Canis lupus familiaris: one gene and its partners. The protein of the gene in region 1 binds, or shares a complex with, the protein of each later gene. Links are inferred from orthologs where the notes say so. Each region holds a gene or a part of one and is shown on either strand. Other genes may lie near its edges. The genes, in order: GTF2A1, POLR2B and GTF2H5.

What was found.
Region 2: GTF2A1 (region 1) and POLR2B share a complex: the UniProt entries of both Homo sapiens proteins name them as parts of the TBP-based Pol II pre-initiation complex. The link is inferred for Canis lupus familiaris from reciprocal best matches to the Homo sapiens genes GTF2A1 and POLR2B.
Region 3: GTF2A1 (region 1) and GTF2H5 share a complex: the UniProt entries of both Homo sapiens proteins name them as parts of the TBP-based Pol II pre-initiation complex. The link is inferred for Canis lupus familiaris from reciprocal best matches to the Homo sapiens genes GTF2A1 and GTF2H5.

The regions. Positions count from the first base shown.
Region 1 is NC_049229.1:53,872,819-53,876,570, forward strand, and holds the start of GTF2A1 (transcription initiation factor IIA subunit 1), read right to left. Parts: upstream 2,230-3,752; 5' UTR 2,024-2,229; coding exon 1,994-2,023; intron 684-1,993; exon of another isoform or gene 665-683; intron 1-664. UniProt on the Homo sapiens protein: TFIIA is a component of the transcription machinery of RNA polymerase II and plays an important role in transcriptional activation. TFIIA in a complex with TBP mediates transcriptional activity.
Region 2 is NC_049234.1:49,890,649-49,894,300, forward strand, and holds part of POLR2B (DNA-directed RNA polymerase II subunit RPB2), read left to right. Parts: intron 1-656; coding exon 657-751; intron 752-2,352; coding exon 2,353-2,603; intron 2,604-2,688; coding exon 2,689-2,778; intron 2,779-3,017; coding exon 3,018-3,125; intron 3,126-3,652. UniProt on the Homo sapiens protein: Catalytic core component of RNA polymerase II (Pol II), a DNA-dependent RNA polymerase which synthesizes mRNA precursors and many functional non-coding RNAs using the four ribonucleoside triphosphates as substrates.
Region 3 is NC_049222.1:48,175,016-48,178,068, forward strand, and holds the end of GTF2H5 (general transcription factor IIH subunit 5), read left to right. Parts: intron 1-1,929; coding exon 1,930-2,110; 3' UTR 2,111-2,405; downstream 2,406-3,053. UniProt on the Homo sapiens protein: Component of the general transcription and DNA repair factor IIH (TFIIH) core complex, which is involved in general and transcription-coupled nucleotide excision repair (NER) of damaged DNA and, when complexed to CAK, in RNA transcription by RNA polymerase II.

The DNA of each region.
Region 1 (3,752 bases):
TAAACCAAATTAACTTCTATCTTGAACGTTAATATCCAATGAAATCAAAAGACAACGTCAACTTCGAATTTTAATATTTTAAAAATCCAGTTTGCACTAAGCCTCCCCTCTCATTACTCACAATTTCCCTACATACAATAGATGCACTGTGGACATAAGGTCCACACGTTGAAGCTTTAGGCACTTTATCTTCAAAAAAGCTTTGTGTCTAACATTACAGAAAAACAATGGCATATAGGAGCTTTATTTCTAACACATTTTCTGAATACTCGATGGACGAAACACTATCAGAGTCATCAAGTACCCTGCAGCTCAGAGTTAATGTAGGAAGCGGTGTTTCTGTTGTCGTTTTCTTTAAATGCCCAACAATAACGCATTTCCCAATACAAAAATGACCACAGACCTCTGAGCTACAATCCTCTTTAAAAGCAAAGATAAAAATATAAGAAGGGACAGCAATTCTGCGTTCCCCCCCCCCCCGCCCCCTCAACAAAGGCAGGAAACCCTAGCTGCTGCGTCAAAACAAACAAACAAAAAAACTTGGGGACCCCCCCCCCCCTCCGAAAGCGGCCCCGTCGGGCGCGAAATCCCAGTGGCAGCTGAAGGACCTAGATATAAACCGGGCGCTCGGCTCGCTCCTGCCTCTCGCCTCGGGAGCACGCACCTCCCAGCCCCGCTCTCAGCAGCTCTCACTATTTAAAGCCGGATCTAGTGTTTAAATGGAGAGGCGGTGACGTAGGCCTGAAAAGCACCTTCCCATCCTGGCAGAGTCTATATTAGAGAGCGGCAATGGCTCTATATAAACAGGGCAGCCAAAGGGAGGAGGACCACAAGGCTCAGGGACTCAAAAGCAGGGTAAGCGGCCGCAGCCATGATGGATCGACCCGAGTCGCCAACGGTACGGAGTCGGGCGGCCGCGGGCTCGTCTGCGGCGTTTGGGACCGGGAAAAAAAACAAAACAAAAAAACAACAAAAAAACAAAAACAAAAACGTGTTTTTACGGTCAGAATAAAAATAAGAGTGGGGTGGACTAGTGATCGCATTGGCGTTGGTGACGGACAAGGTTGTTTTTATGTGACTGCTTTTTGCAAACCTACGTGATCGCAAGTAACCAAAAAGGGACAAACGGGGGGGGGGCGGGGGGGAGACGTAGGCAAATTTCAAGGCGAAAGCAGGGGCGCTGGGACCACTGTAGGCTTTTTTGTTTGTTTGTTTGTTTGTTTGTTTGCTTTGGTGCTTTTGCTAGTGGAAGATACGATGGGGGGGGGGGGTGTTGCTTCCCCTTCGCCATTTTACCGATTCGGAAGGAACCGAGATAAGTGCTTTTCAACCTTCGTCCTTTTCTTTCCTTTTTCCTTTTTTTTTTTTTTTTTAAGAAATATAAAATGGCCTCAGTGAAGGCTCCCCCTAATAAGCACAACCGCCAGAAACATCCCAAGTAACCCCCAAAGTAGCCGTTCGCCTTCCACTGCACTGAAGTGGGCCACACGGCGGGTCCTGGGGACTCGCCCGATTCCCCAGACGCGGGTTTTGTCTGTGGAGGCTGCTCGGGGCGCCCGTGTCGAGCCGGCGCGGCCGGGCCCCCGGGGGGGGCGCAGGGGGGGAAGCGGAGGCTTCACGCCCGCCCGCCCGCCCTCCCGGCGGCCGGGGTCTGCGGCCGGAGCCGCGCGCTCGCCCCGGCCCAACGGCCTGCGCGGCCCCGACCGCCCCGCGGCGGCCCCAGGCCCCGCCGGCGCCCCCGCCCTCCTCCCGCCGCCGCCGCCGCCGCCGCCGCCGCCGCCAGCCCGAGGCGCCCTCCCCCCGCCCCCCCCGCGCCCGCCGCCCCGGCCCGCTCCGCCCGAGGCGGGAAGCGGCGGCGGCGGCGGCGGCGGCGGCCGCGCGGGCGGCTGAGGAGAGTAGAGGCCGGGAGTCGCCGCCGTCCCCGCCCCCGCCCGGTCCGGCCGTTGCTGCCGCCCGGACGAAGCCCCCGCCGGCCACCAAACCACGTCCTTACCACGGTGTTTGTATTTGCCGAGTTCGCCATTTCCACACACAACACAAACAAGAGGGGGGGCAACCCCGAGAAAACAAGATTAAAAACAAAAAACCAAAAAGAAAAAAAAGAAAACCAAAACACCCGGAGGGTGGCCCAAGCCACCGCAAGATTGGGGGTAAAAATTTCAAACAAAATCGAATCCTGAAAGAGTAGAAGGGGAGCGGTGAGAGGAGGAGGAGGAGGAAGAGGAGGAGGGGGGCAGTCCTCCCCGAGCTAAAAACCTCGAGAATCGCCCTTAAAAAAAAAAAAAAAAAAAAAAAAAAAAAAAAAAAAAAGCCACGACCCTTCTGGGGTCCGGGGGGGCGTTGCCCGCTCCCCACCCCGCGCCAAGGAGGGAAACCACCACCGGTCGCCGCTCCCCGCGCCGCCGCTGCCGCCACCGGCTGCAGCTCCAGCCGTCCGGTCCGCCCGCTTCTCCCCTTTATATAGTGAGCCAACGAGCTGCGCGAGCCGCCGCCGCCGCCGCTGCCGCCGAGAGACAGGGCGGAGGGGGAGGGAGGGGCGGAAAGGGCGGGGGCAGAGGTGGGCGGGGCTGAGCGCGAGACACCGCGAGAGCCGCGTGCGCAGGCGCGCCGGGGCGGAGGCCGCCGTGGGCCGCGTCGTCACGCGCAGCGGAGGGTGCTGGGCTGGCGGAGCGCGGGGACTGGGGTAGTCGAGTCGTCCGGCCGGCTCCCCAAGTCTCGCGTGATCACCTGGTTGCCACCCAGGCGGAAGTGCCCCACAGCTGTTTTAGGCTGAGGGGCTTGCAAAGTATCGCTGGACATAGCATGAGTGGTGTTGACCCTCAAGTCCAAAGCTACCTGGCAGCCAACTCTTGTCAGGTGTTTCTGCGTCTCCCTGCGCTTGGAGAAGCGAGGAAATACAGAAGGGGCGCTGGCGGCTGCCTCGTTAGCAATGGCTGCGGAGGCGGACCGGTCACGTGGCCCCGCTTCCGGCCCCCGGAGCGCTCGGACTCCGGGCAGAGTTTAAATGCGGAGTCATCTCGGGGCGTGAGCTCGTCGTGGACTCGGCGCTCAGAGGCGTCGGTTCCTCTCGCGTCGCGAAGGCCGGGCCCTTCGCCGGCAAGATCGTGTACGTGTTCCTAAAGGGGGAGAGCTGCTTTGAGCCCGCTGCTAACACATTTCAGAATTAATGACCCCTGAACCGGCTGAGTCGTTTCCACCGGTACAGCTAAAAGGCCCTGGGCTTAAGTTTCCCCGAGGTTCGGCCCCTTACTAGCGTGCTAGTACTTCCGTGGTGGAAATGCCGAAAGGAAAAAAAGAAAAAAAAAAAAAAAACCGACCTGCATATCACCGGATTATGACAGCACGATAACGTCCCCCCTCGATTTTTAAAAACTGCCGAAATCCTGTGACCGCATGGCCCGCGCCTGGGACTGACAGGAAATACCTCGGTGGGGCCGCCCCGTCTCGCGGCCTCTCGCCGCCGGAGCGAGCAGAGGAAGCCCACGTGTCGGAGTGTGAACCAGGAGGCGCCGGACCTGCGCTGCTCCCGACTCCCGCCTTCGGGGCAGCGTGTCACGCAGAACGGGGAGTGCTCCGCTTCGAAGGCAGAGCTCGCCGCACCTAATTCTGCCCCTAGGAACTTGGAGAGACGTGGACTGTAGTCCGGGCAAGTGAAGGAGTGGATCCTCCTCGCAAAGCAAAACGAAATGTCAAAGTTCGTATGCCACCGAAAGTATATTTGGGGAAATAATCAAAGGCGATGTACGAGAGAG
Region 2 (3,652 bases), on another chromosome or scaffold:
GTCTCAGGATTTTCAAATGCTAATATTTTGAGGTCGCCACCCTCTACTCTTTTTTGGTAAGCAAATACATGTTTGCAATTATAATACAGAAATGTCTAAAGAAATAAACCTATTAATCTTAGGACCCACAAATAACTATTAAAATTATAGTATTTTTTCAGTCTTTATTATTCTTATGCTTTAGTTATTTTATTGACAATCCCAGATACTGGCATATGAAGATTGGTTAAAAACTAGAGATTGAGAAGATGGATTTTTTTTCTGCATAGTGTCAGGATAGAACTAGGACCAGAGAGTGGGCATGATACCTTAATATCATAAACTTCTCACCAGAGATATTGGAGCAGATCCTGAATGACCTTCTCTGGGGGTTATTAGGGAAGGGATTCTTCTTTTAGGTAGGAGGTTGCAGTTGTGACCTTAGGTCCTTCCTGTTCTCACATATAATCCAGCTGTGTTAAGATACAGATCAAATGCTACGTGTGTGGCGCATATAATACCATTTAAGACTTGACTTTGACTCTTGATACAGTTAACTCTTATTTTAGATTCATGGTTAAATTGTCTCCCAAATATCAAAGTAAAAATGATTGGTATATTCTAACCTCTATTATAAAAGGAAAATAGAAGTTACCTTTACAACCATGCATTTTTAGGTCTGTCTTCTATCGATCATATAAAGAACAGGAATCTAAGAAAGGATTTGATCAAGAAGAAGTTTTTGAGAAGCCAACTCGCGAAACATGCCAGGGTAAGTGATACTGACATTTAAAATAATGGAATTTAAAGTTAACTCACCATGTTTTTCCTAATTAGTACCTCCCCCTTGCCCCCCTCCACTATTTTTAGAGCTGATATATAAGAAAATATGTGTGTTTGCCAAAAGTCTTTACACATAGGAGTTGGCTTGTTAAGATCCTTCCATCCTGGTAGATCTGCATCGAAGAGGGTTTTATTTATTTATTATTTTTTTTTCTTATTTTTTTATTTTTTTATTTATTTATGATAGTCACACAGAGAGAGAGAGAGAGAGGCAGAGACACAGGCAGAGGGAGAAGCAGGCTCCATGCACCGGAGCCCGACGTGGGATTCGATCCCGGGTCTCCAGGATCGCGCCCTGGGCCAAAGGCAGGCACTAACCCGCTGCGCCACCCAGGGATCCCCCGAAGAGGGTTTTAGAACATCACAGAGGTCATATAATTTCATGGGATACAGTACTCCTGTACTGTGAACTTTTCACTCAATTTATGTATTTGCATGGGAACTCCCTTCCCTCTCCACATTGTAGTGTGTCCATAATATTTGTCTAGCCACCATATTTGTATACATTTAACAGATAAAGGGATACCTGGCACTTTTTTTTGTTTAGAAAACTCAAACTTATTGTCTAGTTACTATTTTCATAGACACTTAAAAACTATGTATGCAGTGGGATGGATGGGCTGTCCCAGGGAAATGTATGTATCTGCTACAGTTTTGACCTCTAATGGTATTGTGTGAAGTAAAATGTGTCTTGTTTTTTAAGTCATCTTTCTGTTATCCTATAGAAATAGAGCCATTGTGGGTGGTTCTATGTAGTAGTGAATTGATGTCCAGTGGAGTTAAGATTATGTAAGATGAAATTCAAAATTTCTTTGAGAGGATGTGTGTAGAGAGCATATTCTTTTTCTTTTCTTTCTTTTTTTTAAGATTATTTCAATGAGAGAGTGTGAGTGTAGGAGGGAGGGGCAGAAGAAGGAGAGAGAAAGCCAAGCAGACTCCCAGTGGCAGAGCAGGATGCAGGGCTTGATCTCACTACTCTGAGATCAGAACTGAGCTGAAACCAAGAGTCAGATGCTTAACCGACTGCACAACCCAGGCCCTCTGAGATCAGAAGATGGCAACACCCTTATCCAAAGTCATAGACATTTTGATTTTCCAGTGTTAGTCCAGTACTTTTTTAGAATTCAGAATAGTTTGTAGGATTTGGAGTAAGAGCATTGTATTATTATTACACATAGCTCATGGTGTTAAAGATTCCTATGAACTTCTCTCTGACTTGGAACTGATTCAGGATTTGGTTTTAATCTTTTGGGGGGATTATGTGACTTTTTTTTTTTTTTAAGATTTTATTTATTTATTAGAATGAGAGACCACAAGTTTGGGGGGGGGAGGGCAGGGAGAGGAGGAGAAGCAGATTCCCTACCATGCAGGGAGTCCATCATAGGGCTCAATCCCAGGACCCTGATGTCATGACCTGAGCCAAAGGCACTTAACCAGACTGAACCACCCGGGTGCCCCGGGTTATGTGACATTTTAAATACTTTATATAGTAGTACCATTTCAGAAAATTCTGTGTCTGTTTCCTCATAGGTATGAGGCATGCCATTTATGACAAGCTGGATGATGATGGTTTGATAGCTCCTGGAGTCCGTGTATCAGGAGATGATGTTATTATAGGCAAAACAGTCACCTTGCCTGAAAATGAAGATGAATTAGAGGGCACTAATAGGCGCTATACCAAGAGAGACTGTAGCACATTTCTTAGAACTAGTGAGACTGGCATTGTGGATCAGGTTATGGTAACTCTCAACCAGGAAGGATATAAATTTTGTAAAATAAGGGTGAGTATAGCTTTTTCATACTGCTTTTTATAAAAAGTAAACCAGTTTGACTTAAGTTAATTAACCTATTTTTGTATGAATTCAGGTCCGCTCTGTTAGAATTCCACAGATTGGAGACAAATTTGCTAGTCGACATGGTCAAAAGGGTACTTGTGGTATTCAGTACAGACAAGAGGTAGGTATCTCTTATTTCCCTCACCTTAACCCACAGTTTAACATTTTACAGAATCAAAATTTGCTTTAACTTAAAAGTGCAGAGATGATAGAGGCTTGACTTTTTAATTTTGAGTAAGTAAATGAATAGAGCATGTTGAACAGAATTGAGGACATAGGAAACTTCAGAAAGGGGAGGATCCATTTCAGTTTCATAGTTAAGAGAGTTACGTTTGTCTCCTTTAAAAAATTTCTTCCTAGGACATGCCTTTTACCTGTGAGGGTATCACCCCTGATATCATCATAAATCCCCATGCCATTCCCTCTCGCATGACTATTGGTCACTTGATTGAATGTCTTCAAGGGAAGGTAAGAAATATTCTTTAAAAATATATGTTCCAAACTGATGTTTCTTCCAAAATGATGATAGGTGATTCTCTCATATTTGAGTCAGGGTTCTTTTTTGGAAAAAAGATTGTATGATACTTACTTTCCTGCTTTTATTTATTCATACATTTTGTAAAGATTTATTTATTTATTCATGAAAGACACAGAGAGAGAGGCAGAGACATAGGCAGAGGGAGAAAGAAACAGGCTCCCCACAGGGAGCCTGTTGCGGGACTCAGTCCAGGATCCCAGGATCGTGCCCTGAGCCTAAAGCGGGCACTCAACTGCTGAGCCACCCAGGCGTCCCACTTTCCTGCTTTTAATTTTTTTTCTTTTTCCTGCTTTTAATTTGTAAGTTGGTTATGATTGTGTGTTTCTTCCCCCAGCAAAAATTTGTGAGGTTTTGGCTAAGTCAGAATTTTTATTAAATTTACTACATCCAATCTCTACATACATCTATTATTATCTTTTGACTGGTTCTTTTCTGTAGATGAGGGGTTAATTCATTG
Region 3 (3,053 bases), on another chromosome or scaffold:
AAAAATCATTGTAATGATAAGTTACTGAAAATAATTAAAATCATCTTTTCAGAAAGACTTGACTTTATTAACAGTTAATATGCCATGAACCATACTCATTTACTGATTGAAATAAATCCTTTACCTTTGTTAGCTTCACTTATACCTAGTTTGTACTTGAAAGAAGTAAAACTTGTTTTTATGTTTTTAGGTAATTACACTGACCTCTTTTGAATTCAGTCATCTTTGTAATGGATGTTGTCATTCCTTAAGAAACCATAAGATTTTATGAAGTTACATTTTCTCTAAGATTTAAAAAAAACTGCAACTTGACATTTTTATATTCATCTTTTGCTAAACACATTATTGTACATTAGGTCTAAAGAGTGTTCTTTGTTGTGATTCAGGGTTTTTACAGCAGAGATATGTTTCTGTAAGGTCTATAAATTTGGGGTTTGTTTGGGTTTTTTTTAGGTTTATGTGCTTATTTGAGAGAGCAAGAGCATGTGCACATTCTCTGGGGGGAGGGGCAGAGGAAAAAGAGAGAATCCTTAAGCAGACTCTACACTGAGCACAAAGCCCAACACGGGGCTTGGTTCCAGGACCCTGAGATCATGACCTGACCTGAAATTAAGAGTTGGACACTTAACCAACTGACCCACCCAGGCATCCCATGTAAATCCTAGAATTTGGATCTCTCTTTTCCTTGTGACTTATTCTATTCATTCCAAACTAAAAATCACAAATAAATAGAATTTGTATCTGTTCTTTGAGCTCAGTATCCTGAAGAAGATTTTGGTAGGATTTCCTTTAAAGATTCTGAGTGAGGGGATCCTTGGGTGGCTCAGTGGTTTAGCACCTGCCTTCGGCCCAAGGCATGATCCTGGAGTCCCGGGATTGAGTCCTGCATCAGGCTCTCTGCATGGAGCCTGCTTCTCCCTCTACCTGTGTCTCTGCCTCTCTCTCTCTCTCTCTCTCTCTCTCTCTCATGAATAAATATTTTTTTTAAAAAAAGATTCTAAGTGAGTTCAAATTTAGGAAGTTCAGAATTTTAAGGAAGGAAGAAAAACTGAGAACCTACTGCAAGCCAAACACCGTCTTTGGAATTACTCTCTTTTAATTTAAAGGAGAATAACTTAATTATTCTCTTTTAATTAATAAACTGTTAATAACAGTTCTGTTATGTGGGCTCATTTTGAGGCTTTAGAGATTAAGTACATAGTAAGGTCACACAAGTGATAAAGCTGGGATTGAATTCAGATCTGACTTTTGCAGGATCCCTGGGTGGCGCAGCGGTTTGACGCCTGCCTTTGGCCCAGGGCGTGATCCTGGAGACCTGGGATTGAATCCCACGTCGGGTTCCCGGTGCATGGAGACTGCTTCTACCTCTGCCTGTGTCTCTGCCTCTCTCTCTCTCTCTCTGTGTGTGTGACTATCATAAATTTAAAAAAAAAAAAAAAAAAAAGATCTGACTTTTGCTGTACACCCTACTTTATCACAGTGACTGCTAAACTGGTTTTGTAAATTAAATTTTTCACTGGCAAGATAGTGAAAAATCTATTGTCTTCTTAAGTGTAATGGTCATGGGCAAGTAAGGAAATTCATTTTTTAAATCAGTTAAGGGAGCTGTGGTTTCTAGGCCCTATTAACTACAAACCTCTGAACATTATTTGTTCACTTGTCAGTGACAAATTACTCTTTTAAAATCTTCTCATTGGCCTCTTTCTCTAAAACTTAAAGGAACAGTTCTAAAATGAAGTCATGAAAAAAATAAAAAATAAAATGAAGTTATGTCTACAAATCATTAATGCTTGAGACAGAGGGAATGACGGATTGAGTTAACAGTTTAGAACTTTTTGAGTTATCCTAAAAATTCTGCATGCCCAATTCTAATTGCTTAGGTATAATTTGATAACACAATGTGTCATTATCATGTGTTTGTCTCTGCAGTGACCCTGCCATGAAGCAGTTTCTGCTGTACTTGGATGAATCAAATGCCTTAGGGAAGAAGTTCATCATTCAAGACATTGATGACACTCATGTCTTTGTTATAGCAGAGTTGGTTAATGTCCTCCAGGAGCGAGTAGGTGAATTAATGGACCAAAATGCTTTTTCTCTTACCCAGAAGTGAAAGTACTCAATATTGACCACTTAGGAATTACAAGTAGCAAATGTGAGAGACTGTCACTATTCAGTGTCCTACATGACAGATTAGACTTAGCTGCTTAGTCGCATATTATGGGAAAAACTGTGATGTCATTTGTTCAGAAAAAAGTCCTTGAAATGATTTTCTTGTTGTTTTTTCGGTACATGTACCCTAGAATTTAAAAAAAAAAAAAGAAAAAAAACTTTAATGATTGTCTGTAATTTGACTTTTACTATCCTACATTAAAATATAAATATAAATGGTTTTCCTACCTTTTTAATACCAATTTAATGCATTAAGAATTTAATGGAATATGCATTTTTCAGTTTAATCTAGGTGTTTGTTTGCTTGTTCCTGCTAATAATTATAGAATTTTATAATCTGGGTGGTGTTCTGTTCTAATTAGAAACTTCACATCAATTATTTAGGTAAGTATACCAAGGTGGGACCTTTGGTAATATTTATGTCTTTATAAATAATATCTGGATACTGGCCAGCTTTATTGATGAAGAAGGAAGGTAGGAAAGAGAACCATGGAACATTAATGTAAGCTACACTTTGCATTTCCCTAAAAATACAGTTTTAAAAGTACAGAGGGCTTGGGCTGCCTGGGCAGCTCATTTAAGCGTCCGACTCTTGTCTCAGGATCATGAGTTCAAGCCCCTTATTGGGCTCCACACTGGGCATGGAGCCTACTTAAAAAAAAAAAAAAAAAAAAAGAAGTGTGGAAGAAATAACCAAATGGTAAAGGGACATGGTGCCTTGCAAGCTTTAGCTTTTCCTTGTTCAAACTTTTTTAGTCACATTTTCCTTTCCCATCAGGGCAAGTGTTTTTTTGTTTAAAAAAAAAAAAATCAGTTTTAAAGAAAGGGAAGAAGGAGTAGATAGAAATAAATTGAGTCTTATGGGAAGTGGCATGATTAGGATA